Linked DNA regions of Oreochromis niloticus. The protein of the gene in region 2 purifies or fractionates together with the protein of the main gene of each other region. This does not show direct contact. Links are inferred from orthologs where the notes say so. Each region holds a gene or a part of one and is shown on either strand. Other genes may lie near its edges.

Region 1 (7,963 bases), on a different chromosome or scaffold from region 2:
ACACCCTATGGAATGCTGCCTGGGCCCATTCCATCTGACTTTCAGTTGCTGAAGCGAGCTGCTTTACGGTTTCTCCCTGTTTACTGCAAACCTCAGCTGCAAACTGCATGTTCTGTGCAGCCAAATATAAGTAACCATTTAAAGTTTAATCTCAAATGTGTAAATAAAATGTATCCCGTGATGTCTCAATGCTAATAAATTATATCAATGAATATTATGACATTTATTATAATATGGGCATTTAGATAGACTCTTTCAGGCTTTTCAGTCCAGTGCGTTTATTTGTAGAACATACTTAGTTCCGGGCTTGCCTTTACGATGCAGGATTGCATCTCGACTTAAATAAGAGATCTGAGAACTGTAATTACTGTTTAAATCACTCAGATCACTCACAGTACTGAGTAAACAAACCACCTTCTTCTATAAACGGAGAATGAAGACACTTCCGGCTGAGCAGTTGTCGTTTTCCCATAAATGTATTTTGACGATTGGATCGTGAACTTATTTTACTATTGAACTAAAACACTTCACGCCTGAAAATGGAAAATGTAGTTCAGCATTAGTTCCGGCCTACCTTCCATGCCTCCAACTCTCGCTTGGCCTCCTTCAGTTCACCGTCTTTATCCAGGCCTCCTTCCTTCTGCCAAGAAAGAATGGCATCGTTAACAACTGTGGACCACTTGTTTCTTCTTAGACGGACTAAAACAAACAAACAGACGAACACATTATTACTCACCTTATCATTTAGCGAGCGACTACCGAAGACCTCAGCCATGGTCTGAATGACAAAAAAGAAACAGATATGAAAACTTCACTTGGTAGCTACGATCCAAAAATCAGCCAGCTGTGACTGCACTGCCTCTTTTTTGAGTACTTATTATTTTCTGTCGAAGTTAGAAAAGAAACAAAGTGGCCCTGTTGTGCCGGAAACAGCTCCAAATCAAAAGTGAAAGTTACAGCCTGGTGTGACGAGCTTCCCGGTATGGAAGACCAAGTGTGACAAAAGTTCACAGTCAAAGAAATAAATTAATAAAAACATCTCGTGTGTGTGTTGGAAGCTACTGATTCTTTAGATAAAGGAAAAAACACGCAATTTTCTGGCTAAAAATATGCATGAAATTCTTAACCCATTTAATTACAAAAACAAACAAACAAAAATATTTTTAAAACAAAAAACGATTTTACATTTTTTTTGTATGTGTATTTTATTTTAAATAGTACAATATGTTACCAGCACCTAAAAAATCCATAGACGGGGGGAACGTGGAATGAAACACAAGAAGCGAAACATGGGAAGAGAAAAGAGAAACAAGACACAAGGACACACACGCACACATAAACACAAACACACAGGGAGGGACACAGAGGTCAAACACTATGGTGTTATTTTTGTCTCACTATTCTGAGAGCACGTAAAAAAAAAAGTACAAGTGTTGCATTTTGAGGAGAAATTTATTCCTCTCGCTCAGGTTTTGCATTTGCTCTTGCTCAGATCTCTGCGGACCTGCTCTCAATGTGTTGCTCGCGCTTTCAACATCTCTGCCCCTGCACGTTCAACTCTTTCTGTACAGCATTATATTTGTGCCACAAAACCAAAAAATCACAGATTTGGATGCAAAAATTCTGATTGGCTGCTTTAGTTTCTCCATTCAGCTCGCTAGCTACTGTAACCAAACCCAGGCAAATATCCCAGTATGCATTTCGTCCAAAACTCAAACAAGGCATTTGCAGAGGAACGCAGAGCGGCGGAGTTTGAAATATTACTCTTTCTGGATCACAAAATAAACTTTTAAGATATTTTCAGGCTACAAAGCAGGCAATATAAGAATAAGAAACTCAGAACAGACTAAACTTAAGACTACTAATGAACCTAAAACATAAACATAATACAAATTAACACCAAAACACAAGAAACTCAAAATGCTGGGTCAACATGACCCAGAACTCTCAGGTGACTACATAATGAAGAGAAGGCCAAGGGTTTGCAGCACTCAACAAAGCAAAGGGTGGCTACTCTCAGGAATCTCAAATATAAGACATAGTTAGAGTTATTTATCAATTTTTTGATAAATAACAACAAAATTATATTTGTATCACTGGCTGTTATGGGGAGACCCTGGAAACTGTTCAGAGAGTCTTTCCTTTATTCTGCTCGTGCTTCACACGTGTGCTGCTTCTGCAGCTCCGGGCTGCACTTTACAGCACAGTCTCTTCTGGTAAAGCTCACGTCTGCTTCTCCGCTGCCACAAGGGAGGAACAATGTTGAAGTTCTTTTCAGAAGTAATCGATGTTACAGAAGTAACAACAAATAAGAAGACGTCAATAAGCTCATCTATTTCTGCTCAGAGTGGCACAGTCTAAAGAAGTCAGTTTCCTGGATGGTGATGTGTAAGCAGCACATATTGGAAGTTACTGTGAAAGCAATGGAAGGAAAACTGAAAAGGTAGCAAGTCAAATGCAGCAGTTCAGTTCAGCTTTAGTGGTGTCTTTACACACTACAGGTGATTAAGTCATGGTCAAAGTCAAAGACAGCTCAGTTCATTTCATGGAAATCCCAGTATTACTATCATAATCAGTGGAGCTTGCCTCAAAACCCTCATTATAAAGACTGAGTGAAAAGGTTTAGGACAGAGTTTTGGCACTGTGCCCACAACTTTGAGACATCTACACAAAGTGCTGACTACACCCTTTCTCTTATTACACTTATTATTACAGGTTGTGTACCTGCTGCTTTAGGCAGTGCCAGTTTCTCATGAACCAGTTTCATCTGTAAATACTGAGTTAATGTTTTTAATACTACCGCTTGGATTTATTACAGGTGCATGTGTAAAAGAAGCAATACCCCACCTGCTGTGGATTGTGAAGACCAATTTAGACCATTCAATGACTCAAACACTGGAATCAAAAGTGTAATTAAATAAATATTAGATTGACGAATAATCATCTTATTCAACAATTACTGTCATACAGATGAGAGAAAGCAAGAAAAACAGAGACTTGTGGGTGAGCTCCATTAACTCATATCAGCAGAGAGAGAGAGCGGCACTCTGTGCTGTACATTAATTATAATAGCTTAATAAAACTCGCCTCTGCTTTCAAGGACAAAATAAAACAGGAGGAGTCTGTTCTCTGCTTTCAACAGAAAGTGTTATTTGCAGCATTAGTGACTTCATCATCACAATAACCTGTTACTCACATACTGTGTCACCATAAGTAAAATATTTATTCTGTAAAAATAAAATCTAGAAAAAACCCACAGATGACATGACAGATTTTTCTTTTCCCTTTTTTATTCACTTCAAATATCTCATAAACAACAGGAGGCCGCAGGTTCACTATAACCAAAACTTCTGATTCAAACATCACATCAGTGTTACAAGATACAGCAATAGAAATTTAAGGAAAGTTTCTTCATGGTTCAGAGGTTGCACAGCAGAGTTGAAAGATGGTGTGTGAAATGGACTCTTACGATTGGTCAGAATTAGCCAATGAAAATGTGAGAAATGTGAACTTTTTACAAAGAAGGAAAACACATTTCATTTAAATGAATATTTTTTAAATTAATTAAAAATAAAAGCGAATGTTATGCCATCTTCTAACTTTACTTGACAGTGTGTAGAACAAACCTGATAACTCCTAGAAAACTTAAAAATCAACCAAACACATCCAGTCTTTGAGGGCTGTGAGCAAAAACAACACCAGCTGGAAGCCTGTGTGGTTATTACAGTAACCACAGCAGTCTGCTCTCTGTATGTATTACTTTATAAACTGACTTACTGTAAGCAACACAAATGTTAACAGAGAGAGAATTTTGTTGAAGCACACTGTTTATTAGGATCATCACCTGCTGTCTTTAACAGTCTCAGTATTGTTCTTTCTTTGTTTGTGTGGGAGTTTCTCCAAAACATGTGCTCATCGCCATTACTGACAGTCTGGTATTGTAAGTAGTTCTGCTTGGAATTGTGCAGGGCTTGTCTGCATCAGTGTTTCACAGAACAGTATTATCAATATATGGCGATAGTCAAATTGGCCAGCAGATGTCACTGTGGACATGTGTTTCCGACTGTTTCGAAGCCTCGACCGGCTGTAACGCTTCGAACATTACGCTTTGTTTTGTTTTCATTTTTTTTTTTAAAGAACTTTATTGAACAAACAATGAGTATACAACATATAAACAGATGAGGTATACAAGAGAAAAGAACACGAACACACAAAACCAGGGGAAAAAAATAACTATATAAATACACGCAAAAATTCACATATATGAATTGTTTTAAGAGCCTTTTTGTTGGTGGAGTCTGATATTGAGTTTATGTACAATTCTACATCCTTAAGAAAGTGACAGAAATATGGTGTTTTATTATTAAACGTAGATTTATGGATAAAACAATTAGCTAAATGTATTAAGAAATTTATTATATAAAAAACATTTATCATTCTTCTCGGGGAACTTAAAGAAACAGAATAAAACATTTTCCAATCGTAAAGAAAACCCCCTCAAAATATGGACAATAACAAACCAGCTAAATTCCTTCCGGAAGCTCTGTGTAGAAGAACAGTACCAAAAAAGGTGTGTCACAGTTTCTGGATGATCCCCACAGAAAGTGAAATTAGTATTTATGTCTCTTTTAAATACGTTACGTTGTTTCACGAAGCCGTGCTTTGCCCATCACTATGGCAGTTACTTCGGTGGGTGGGCCTGGACCTCCCATAAGCCCGTTTTTTATTAAATAAACACTCTTTGCTACAGTTCATAACCACTCCATTACTCCCCATTATTCTTTAGAATGTAACTGTGTTGATTTGACACATGGATGCAATGAACAAGAGGAGAGGTGATTACAGATTTGCAAAGTTTAGGGTCAGGGAAGAACAGGAGGAGACTCTTTTCGACAATAATTTATTAGCATAAAGTCCGGATAGCAATGATACGATTGTGATTAATTAGTGAAACTGGAGGAGGCAGTAATGCAACACTTGGGGCGCTAAACAGGGGAGAAGAAGAAGAGAAGCTGACGCTGCAGCCAGCTGATATGCGCTGGGAGCGGAAGTAGAAAGTGACAGGCTGACTGGGCTTTAGGTTTGGTTAGCCTAGCTGCTCGTCTGTGTCTCCAAAGCAGAAACACAGAACTCAACTTGCAATGATGTTTTGGTTTCAGGGCTCAATTCCTGATGCCATTAAATCGGCTAAACAACGGAGTTTGGTCTTTGTCGTTGTCATCACAGGTAACAGTTGAAAACATGCGGAAACTCTATAGAGTGCTAGCCAGTTAGCGTTGGAAGCCATTGTAGCCATTAGCTAATTAGCATAGTCAGTGTGTTATGAAAGAAGTCGTCATATGTATTTGATGAATACCCACCGACAGCAAGAATACAGAAGTCTAGTAACGTATCTATGGTGTACAGGGTCTGTCGGCGTAACGTCCTGTGCAACAGCACCTGCTGTCCTCACAGCTGAACCGGGCTGACGTAACGCTAGCGTTAGTTGTTTGCATTCCGCAGGCCAGTCCGAGGATTTCATAAATGAGGGACAGTCCGTCCACCTGCAGAACAGTAGCTGAGTACACTTACTTGGCCAGCCTCAGCGCTACATCACAGTATGACAGGGCGCTGTGGAGCAAAAGGAGCTCCACATAGTCAGCATGGTTCACGATATGCCGCATATATCTCTGTGTTTTGTAATTAATCAGAAAGCGAGATGCAAAAAGAAACATTTATGGAAAGGATTAGGATCGTATGTAAAATAAATAACGAATTATAAAGAACTAGACTCATGGCATGGTCTCCTTTAAATAGCTCTCTACAATAAGTCTCAGCATCACACTGGACCAGATATAGACAGTGTTAGTAGTATACAACAGTGTATGGATTTTGATCTGAACAGATGTTGTTGAGCATGAAGCTGACACAAAGTGACAAACAGCTTCTGTTTTCTGTGGAGTCAAAATCTCTGGTTTTGTGCCTCCAACCTGGCACAGTTGTTTCTGTAATACATCAATGCATCACAGAAACACTGAGAACAGAGGAGAGAAAAGTGGTTCCCAGATTACGCAGAGGGACGTTACTGTAAGAGTTGGAAAAGATGAGATCTGCGCTTCTTTTGCAGTTCCATCAGTGAAGCTGGACCCGTAGTTTTGACCACATGTCTCATCAGTTTCCTGTCACTCTGTCCTTAGGAGAAGATGAACAGTCAGCACAGCTGATGTCCAGCTGGGAGGATGACAGGGTCTCAGAGGCGGCCCAGAAATGTTGCGTGGCCATCAAAGTGGAGGCCAAGAGGTAAAGATGTGTTAGGTAGAGTGATTTTAGTTGAAAGTAAACTGTTAAAGGATGAACCAAGATTTAAAGTTACCTGCATGGAATTAACTGTACATAAAATCAACAATAGATTGAGGTGTACTAGCAAAACCTGCTGTGGCGACTTTAAAATCACATGACATGGTGCTTCATGGATGTTTGTAGATATGATTTGTTACACATCATTTAGTTCCAGCTTCTCCATATTGAATCAGTTGTACAGGTCTGTCTCTTACTATAATGACCATGACGTAAGTCTGTGTGTACCCTGCCTCCTACTCATCGTGTCGGCCATTCGGAATTAAACTTTGCAGAAACATTGTGATACATACAGCGATTATGAATGTTGATTGACGTAGCATGATTTATTGAAATAGAAAAGTTAATGTATTTGGCGATTAGACCCCGTTGATCCATCATAGCAGAACAGAATCCCAGCAGTGATGGGATTTGGGACAGGACCCCCTGGAGTCTAGACTCTGGTGGTGGTGAAGATGAAGACTGAGGCTTGGGTGGAGCTATGGCTGAGGTGGAGATAGGGAGGAGGTTGGTTGCATGGACGAGTCTGTTTAAGCCATGCAAAGCAGAGGCTAATTGGCTCAAAGAAGATGGACAGGATGATTTGACTAGAGTAATGACACAAGTACTGAGCTTGACAGTGTGGGGAAAGTGGAAGAACAGAAAAGCAGGCAGGTGACTGACCTTATTGAAGTTGTGGATAAACTTCATCTTTTTAAAAAGATGTGTTATAAAGTCTTCTGTTACCTGTTCGTAACTTACCAGTCACCAAAAATTGTATGTGCCGTGGAATTTTGTGTGAGTCACCACTAAATGAAGAATGAAGAGTTTGGAAAAGTGTTGATCATTGTGGGTTTTTGACATTCATGTAAAGAGGATCACTTTTCACACCTTTTCCTCCCTGTGTCACCAAGCCTGTACATCCGACTTTTAATGGCTGCTTATTTAATTCAGTTACTTTACTACCTTAATGTATATACTCTAGATGTATATGAGAAGAGCAGCAGTTAGCATTTCCTCCACTATTTTTAAAATGCTATGCCTCTCTTTAGATTTACTTCTGCTTGTATTACCATTAGAGCGAGACAAGTTATCTGTTGTCAACAAAGTTTGTAAAGAATTTGCCAGATTGAATTATCTAACAGTTTATCTGCATACACACAGTTTTTATTTTGACCTTTTTACCCCTCAGCCGTCAAAGGTGATTGGGTTGATTGATTGGGCATCGTCGTTACCTTGCTTTTCTCTTAGAATCAGCTCCCAGGTTTTGCAAACTGCTGCTGCTACTGTAAAGATCAGCCCTAAACCTTCCTCGATCACGCTGTCAGTCTAACAAGCATTTGATGTAATACCTCTAAACAGAGATGTTAATGTGCTTGCAGTTAAACCACAAAATGTTTCAATGATTTCTTCTTTCCCCACAGTGACACGTGTGCACAGTTCTCCCAGATTTGTATCCTTCTGTTGTGCGAGGTTTGAGCTGATGCCGCAGTGCTTACTAAACTTATTACTGACTTGTCTTTGGGAACTGGGTGTCTTGGCGGAGCCTCACAGCTTGAAGGTTCTGACTTCGAATCTGATTTTAGAGCTTTCTGTGAGCACGTTTTGCTTGTGTGGCTTTTCTGCAGGCTGCTGTGGCTTCCCCTCA
Region 2 (7,226 bases):
CCTTGGGCGGACTTCAAGCTGAACTTATTAACGTATACCAGGAATAGCTAGTCATCAGCAGTGTCTGCAGCTGTCCACACAACAGAGTATAATCAACTTTTACATATCAGCACACTCAGACAAGCTGGATTCTATAAAAGGACGTGACCTATGATTATCTACCTCAACGCCTACACACTTTAATTCCAGACAACGTTAGGAGAAGTTGGGATTGTGTCCAAAGTAACACGCAACACAAATCAGTCTACTTCAGATATGTTCTGACTCCTTCTTATACTGTATGAAATGTGATCATTCTACTCACGTGGTGGTTGAGTAGAAAGCTGTTGAGGTTTCTGGCCTGATGCAAACTGTTTGGCATCAGCCAGTGAGCTGAAGAGGGCAGCAAAGGGGTTGCGGGAGATGTTCTGGTTGTTGTTGCCCTGGTCAGTCATCTCATTGGGGCTCAACACTCACTCCATCCAAGATCCCAGCTCTAGGGACTGAATATCTTTAAAAAAAACAAAAAAAAGAGCAGATGGCAATTTCAACACACTTAAATGAACAGTATCATCATCACACACAAACAAGTGTATTTTTGTTTAGTTTGGTCACTGTTATTTTGATTTAATATGCAGATCTTCATGATGTTGGCCACTTTACCAAACTCATCTGTCCAGCACACTCAAGTTCAACATGTTTTACTGTCAGCACGTTGTTGCCTTCAGGGTACAGTTGCACAACCTCAAGTACTATTAAAGAAGGCAGAGCCATAAGGGAACCAGTAGCTCTGTTTTAATTTGTCACGTGACTGTCTGGAGGCTAAGTTAAATGCACTTTTTGCACCTTTGTAATACACTGCACCTCCCTCATCTCTCCCTACAAATATATTCTGAAAATGACACAATTAACATTCCTTTTAATCTTAAGTTGTTAAATTGCAAACACTGGCTTAAAATAACACCTTACTATTCAGGGCTTCCGTAACATTTTTGGTTTTAGTGTATTTAGTTTCACAGCTGAATGGCCATCATAACTTTCTTTTCATCTTTACAAGGTAATAGAGTTATTAAATACTATAAGTAGTAAATATTTCAGTGTATTACATTTAAACAGCAATAATTTCCTACATAGAAAAACTGCTAGTGACCACCAAGGACATGTTTTTTTAATTTTTTACTTAATATAAACGTGTAATATAATGATATTATTCCTACAGCAATGCTATGGCTTTAAGCTCCTTGACACACACAACAATGAGACAAGTCGAGGCATACTGTATATGAGAGCTGCATGTAAGACTCCAGTGACAATTTAGTAAAACTGGAGCTCCAACAAAGCCAAATATTCAAGAAGACTGTTCCTGCTTAAGGTGGAAACAACAAACTTGTTTCACCACTTGAGGGAAAAACACAGTGAAGTACTACCAGACTATAAAGGAAGAGATTCAAGCAGCTGGTGATGTGAAACCCAAACATAATCATGGCACCTTGTTTCAGTGGATTCACACTTTGAATTAGGTAGTACATCATCAGTGACAGGAACTCAATGCAAAACAAGGGCAAAGAATGCCCTTATTTACTTATAGTTATAAATACACCTGACTGCAAGCATCAATAAAACATTTAGTATGTTGTTTTTTCATCATAAATATCATTACTGCAAACTGTCTTGAAATACTCAGCATCTCAAACTGAGTGGCTTGGAGACACTTTTCGAGTGACAGGGCTGAGGTGGTTTGGACATATGCAGAGGACGGATAGTGGATATATCGGATAAAAGGTGTTGCACATAGAGCTGCCAAGCAAGGAGGAAAAGAGGAACACCACAAAAGAGTTTCATGCATGCAATGAAGGACCTGCAGATGGCTACTGTAACAGAGGAAGAGGAGGATGCAAGGAATAGGGTGAGATGGAGATAGATGATCCCCTGTGGTTTCCCCCTACAGGGAGCAACCTCAAGAAGAAGAAGTAGCAAATGTTCTTGAAATATCATAACATAATTTTTAAGGGCATATCGCCCACCCCCTATTTAAACTGAATAGATCTGTACTAATTCAGATGAATTTTAGTCTACAATAACACTGCATTTTGCAAGTTCTCATCGACACACACAAGAACCCTAAAACAAGTACTTATATGCAAATGCTTTCAACACATTAACTCCTGCATGCTGTTTCAATACTGCAGTGCTATCAGACAGATACCATATAGAAGGAGTTCACTTTTATTGTAACTCTATTTTTGGAATATTAAAGTTTTGCACCCTCAAATTGCATTTTAAATGTCTTTAAATAATCTGTAGTCACTATTTTTTCTCTATAAAAGTAACACAATACGGATCAACGAGGTTTAGAGAAGATGATAAGCTGTCTAAATGGGCACTTGTTGTTATTACTATAAAATAGAGTGTATCTCCACGTGCATTAGACATCGTGAGATGATAACCTGGGACAAAAAGGTCGTTGTCTGCTGAGCCCTACTTTCTGATGATGCTAGAAAGTTTTTAGCACGACAAACAGTAACTCAGTAACAGTAACAGTAACATATGGACTGACCGCCTGTCTAGGTAGAGCTCACCTCTTCCGCAGATTACAGTTACTGTGCGTAGTCAGGTTTATCAGTTCAGCACCTTACAGCTTTAACTCTCGCCACTTTACGAAGACAGCTTCGCAGCTAGTCACCTTTACGCTGTTCTGAGAGAGTCACATCACCTGTTAGCCGTGTTAGTGCGCAGAAGATGAGCTGCTTGACGGTTTTGTGCTAACTAGCTAGCAGGTGGAGCTAGCAGCCCTGACCGCCCTGCTGGTGCTGCTGCTGCTAAGCTGAGCTGTCATGGGGTCACCAAGGCTCGATTTCAACTTTAATTTCATAAACTCAAATGAGGGTTTCAGGTATTATCAACCTAAATAATATATACAAACGATAAAGACGGCTGTCGTACCTGTTTGACGAGAAGTAATGTGTATTTTGATTTTTAAAATTGCTTCTACGAAACCAATGCCAGTTCCTCAGTAAATAGTAAACGTTTTCTTCTTTTTCCTAAAACGGCTGCTGCGAGCTGTATCAGTCCGTCGGCGCCACCGTTCGGTCAGGAGTGATTATTGCGTTGGGGAATTTCTTAACTCACTTATTCGATCTCATAAATGTGTGTGTTAATGAGAGGGGAGGTGGAAATGCGAAGACGCAAGGATTACACATTGTGAATGTGTATTAGTTTCAATATCTGGGCTCAATCATACAAATCAGCGGTGGGTGCACAAGAGAGGTGAAGAAGAGACTGCGAGTGGTACTGGACAAAGGATTTTGAATATGGAACTCCCAGGCAGGAGGAAAAGAGAAAGACCACAGAGAAAAATAATATTTTATTTTATTTTTTGCCATCTATAAGTTAAAAAAATTGAGTCATTATCTTAAAAAAATGGCCTTAAAATTGGAATTTCAAGTTATTTTCTCAATTCCAACTTATTTTCTCAGACATTTGGGTTAGTAAGTTAAAATTTTTTGATGTTTTGACGTTTTTTCAGCACTCTGCTGGTGGTAAACACCTGTTTTCAGTCTATTTATTTCTAAACTTTACATTCTTTCTTCTACACGTTTTGACAGTTTATAAAATCTATAGTAAATCTTTCTGATATCTTTTCAGAGCCGGTATTGGTATTGGTTTGATATTAGTGTGATAAGATCAATACTTTGTTTCTGTCCTCTAAGTTAAATTAATTATTTTTTGGGGGGGAAATGAAAAAAATATTGAAAATACATGAAAAGCTGAAAGGTGGGATTTGTTGTGTGAACCAATCATTGTGCTCAACACTGAAAGTCAAGTATTTCAAAATGTTGAGATTATAAACTGAAGTTGTGATTTATGGTTGGCAAAACCCCTGCAGCAGAAAGACACTTCTACAAAAAAGAGAGGAAACAGGGGACAAGAGGAACCAATTAAACAGGCAAAATGCACAACAAAATATATAAAATCATTGCAAGTGAGGTTCAACACAGCAACAGACATGCAATATAAACACACAAACAGTCACAAGATGCAGAATGACTGCAAAAAGATGTAAACAGAACAGAATGAGATGCAACCTGAACAAAACTACAAACTGAGTCTTTCTCATTTGTAGAAGTTGTGGTCTTTGTGGTTTAACTGACTCTCCCACTTTTTTCCTACTAAATTACTTGGATTTGTTTATGACGTCTGATCTCAGAGCTCATTTTACATATTTACGCACAAGTTAATTTCCATGAATTCCCACAGAGCTGCTATCCAAACAAACCCAACACGAACCTAAATTAAAGTCTTTTGCAAAGCAGACAGAGACTCACAATGTCCTATACAGTATTATCCAGTATTAGTGTAAGTCTTCTACCCACACTAATAAGACCATTATTACCATTAATTTTGAATGAAGTACGCAGTTGTTGTTGCACGTGTTTGGTTTTGCTTTATTCTTAGTTCAGGAACCTCAAACACTGATGATAATTTACCCATCTCTTGACACCAGGAACACCCTGTAAGTTTTCACATTTACAAAACTACATGGCTTTTAGAGTTTTAATAAATCAGCACTTCTGAGTAGCAGTGTTATAGTCAGTGAACATGTGCAACTCTGAAACTGATAGAACCTCAGCTGACTGATTTAAGGATGACTTGCAGTTATTTAACATGACTGAATTAATTGTAACCACATTAGCGTATTTGTTAGCACTTCAGCTGCAGTTTGTCCAGTGTGTCAGATCCTGTCAGCTATGACAGGATCTGACACACTGGATCTGCCTTCTACTAAAGCCTGGAGTGTTTGCTGGCCATCAGCAGAGGGCAGCAGCAGACCTATTGTTAGAAGCCCATTTCAGATTATCACACTGCTCAAAGAATTAAACACTTTCATCAGAGTATTAATCAAGTCAGTTAAACTTCTGGGATATTGATTTGATCAGTGAAGTAGCGTGGGGGTGGCGGGTGGTTAATCAGTTTCAGCGGCTGTGGTGTTAACAAAATTACCAATAGATGCACTAGAGAGGCAACAGTGAGACAACCCCCAACACGGGAATGGTTTTACTGGCTAGATTTGTTGTCTCTACTGGTAGCATGAAGCGATACCTGGTCCCCCACCTGCTAGTGAGCCCTGTGCTCACTGCCTGGCACTGTGGAGAACAACTGGCATTTGCAATAGAATACCAGAATTGGCAGGTCCATCACCAGTGTCCTGTGCTTTTCACAGATGAAAGCAGGTTCACCCTGAGCACATGTGACAGACATGAAAACTGAAGAAACCATGACCGGTTTGGTGGTGGGTCAGTGATTATCTGGGGAGGCATATCCATGGAGAGGGACACAGACCTCTACAGGCTAAGCAACGGTACCCTGATTGTCATTAGGCATCAGGATGAAATCCTTGGACACATTATAAGTCGCTACATTTGACTTCAGCCCTCTGTAGGTTGATCATTTTCATTTCCTTCAATGTAGCCTCTTTTCATTCCTAACAGATTACCCCATCTCCATATTTGTGTATTGTCTTTAATCTTGCATCTTTTCCCATATTAAAGCCAGAATATCTTCAGTAAATAACTTTTCACTCATCATGGAGTTTTGAAGACAAACAGTGGTGAAAAATGAGACCTGACTGAGGATCATTTAATGTTTTATGAAACTTTCTGTCAGTCTTTCCAGACGTGGTCAGTTTGTACAAAGCAGCTTCAATACTGAACAGTGCTTCACATAAAACAGAGTTTCTGCTGTCCACAGATGCATACCATATCAATGTTCAGACAACATGTTTGATTTTTTAACTGGAACTATTAGAACAAAATTATAAAAATAATAGATTTCTTCATGTACAAGAAAACGTACATTGACGCAACATTGACAATAAAAAAACAACAACAAAAAAACAAAAACAAACATAAGTTCTTATATCCAACATGGTAAGGACAAATTTAGTACAATCAAAAATGTAGTGTTTAATCACTTACTTCATGAACATCCTTCTCTTTGATGTGTTAAATCTTAAATTACATGAACAAATACTTTCACTGAGCTACTTATTCACCATTTTTCAAAATAGGGCGCGATATTTACAGTTAAACCTTCAATTGTAATCCTGTAAAAATGTTGTCACAGTCTACGTCTTGAGAAGGCTCAGCCTCTCAGTGAAATGTGTTTCAGTCTTTGTTTCCAGTGGCTCCGTTTGTCTTCATGGCTTTTTTTCTCCTTCACATGATGTACAAGAAGCTCCACTAGTGAGTTCCCTTTGACCTTTTTTCTTGGTGCATCTGCTCCACAGTAGTCCAGTAGCATTCTAGCACTTAGTGTTCACTATTTGCTGTACTGCACCCCTTTGCCCCGTCTTAACCAGTCCCTCCACGGGGATTGGTTTTTGTCCTGATCGCAGTCTGAATTCCAGGAGGAAGCCGACGACTGGCGTGACCACGTGGAGGCCGTCCTGCTGGGTCTGCGAAAGAATGACATGCTGTTGTTGGAGGCGGGCTTCTTCTGAGGCTGCTCCAACTGCTGCTGGGACTTGAGCTGCTGGTTGATGAAGATCTGGATGTCATCCTGGGGAAAGGTGGGGAGGAAGAGGAAATGAGCAGCAAGTCCTAGGAGCCGGGACTCAGTCTGGTATCCCGTGATTGTCAAAGATAACATGTTAGTACTAGAGTCGTAGTATTAAAGAAGCAAACTAGTTATCATTAAGTCTCACGAGAAAACCAACAAAGTACTGACTCTTAAAAAAAAATGGAGCTGCCAGGCAGGAGGAAAAGAGGAAGACCTCAGAGAAGATTCATTGATGTGGTAAAGCAGGGGCCGGTGTCCTGCTGGTTTTAGATATCACACCTGAATCAAATGATTAGTTCATTACTAGGCCTCTGCAGAACTTCAAGACATGTTGAGGAGGTAATTTAGCCATTTAAATCAGCTGTGTTGGATCAAAGATACATCTAAACCTGCAGGACACCGGCCCTTGAGGCCTAGAATTCCCCCACCCCTGTGGTAAAGGATGACATGCAGAGGGGTGGTGTGACAGAGGAGGATGCTAGGGATAGGGTGAGATGGAGGCAGATGATCTGCTGTTGCGACTCCTAAAGGGAGCAGCCGGAGGAGGAGGAAAAAGAAAAACTATACTGGTTTAAAGCTATTGATCACAATCAAACCGTTGGGAGATGGATTGTGACAATGTGCATTTAAGCATATTTGTTCATAATAGTAAAAAGAGGTTATAAAACAACTTCCTTGTCAGCGTCCAG

The links.
Region 1: the proteins of ube4a (region 2) and ubxn4 purify together in Homo sapiens (affinity purification with mass spectrometry; 3 studies listed by BioGRID and IntAct, counting the BioPlex papers as one, with this or other methods). This does not show direct contact. The link is inferred for Oreochromis niloticus from reciprocal best matches to the Homo sapiens genes UBE4A and UBXN4.

The regions. Positions count from the first base shown.
Region 1 is NC_031987.2:33,063,040-33,071,002, reverse strand, and holds the start of ubxn4 (UBX domain-containing protein 4), read left to right. Parts: upstream 1-4,844; 5' UTR 4,845-5,141; coding exon 5,142-5,226; intron 5,227-6,176; coding exon 6,177-6,279; intron 6,280-7,739; coding exon 7,740-7,768; intron 7,769-7,963. Other genes in the region: nmi (N-myc-interactor), read right to left, coding at 575-640, 737-775. UniProt on the Homo sapiens protein: Involved in endoplasmic reticulum-associated protein degradation (ERAD). Acts as a platform to recruit both UBQLN1 and VCP to the ER during ERAD.
Region 2 is NC_031979.2:20,134,017-20,141,242, reverse strand, and holds the start of ube4a (ubiquitin conjugation factor E4 A), read right to left. Parts: upstream 3,063-7,226; 5' UTR 2,923-3,062; intron 2,789-2,922; exon of another isoform or gene 2,559-2,788; intron 491-2,558; 5' UTR 435-490; coding exon 305-434; intron 1-304. Other genes in the region: si:ch211-235m3.5 (BICD family-like cargo adapter 1), read right to left, coding at 6,298-6,537.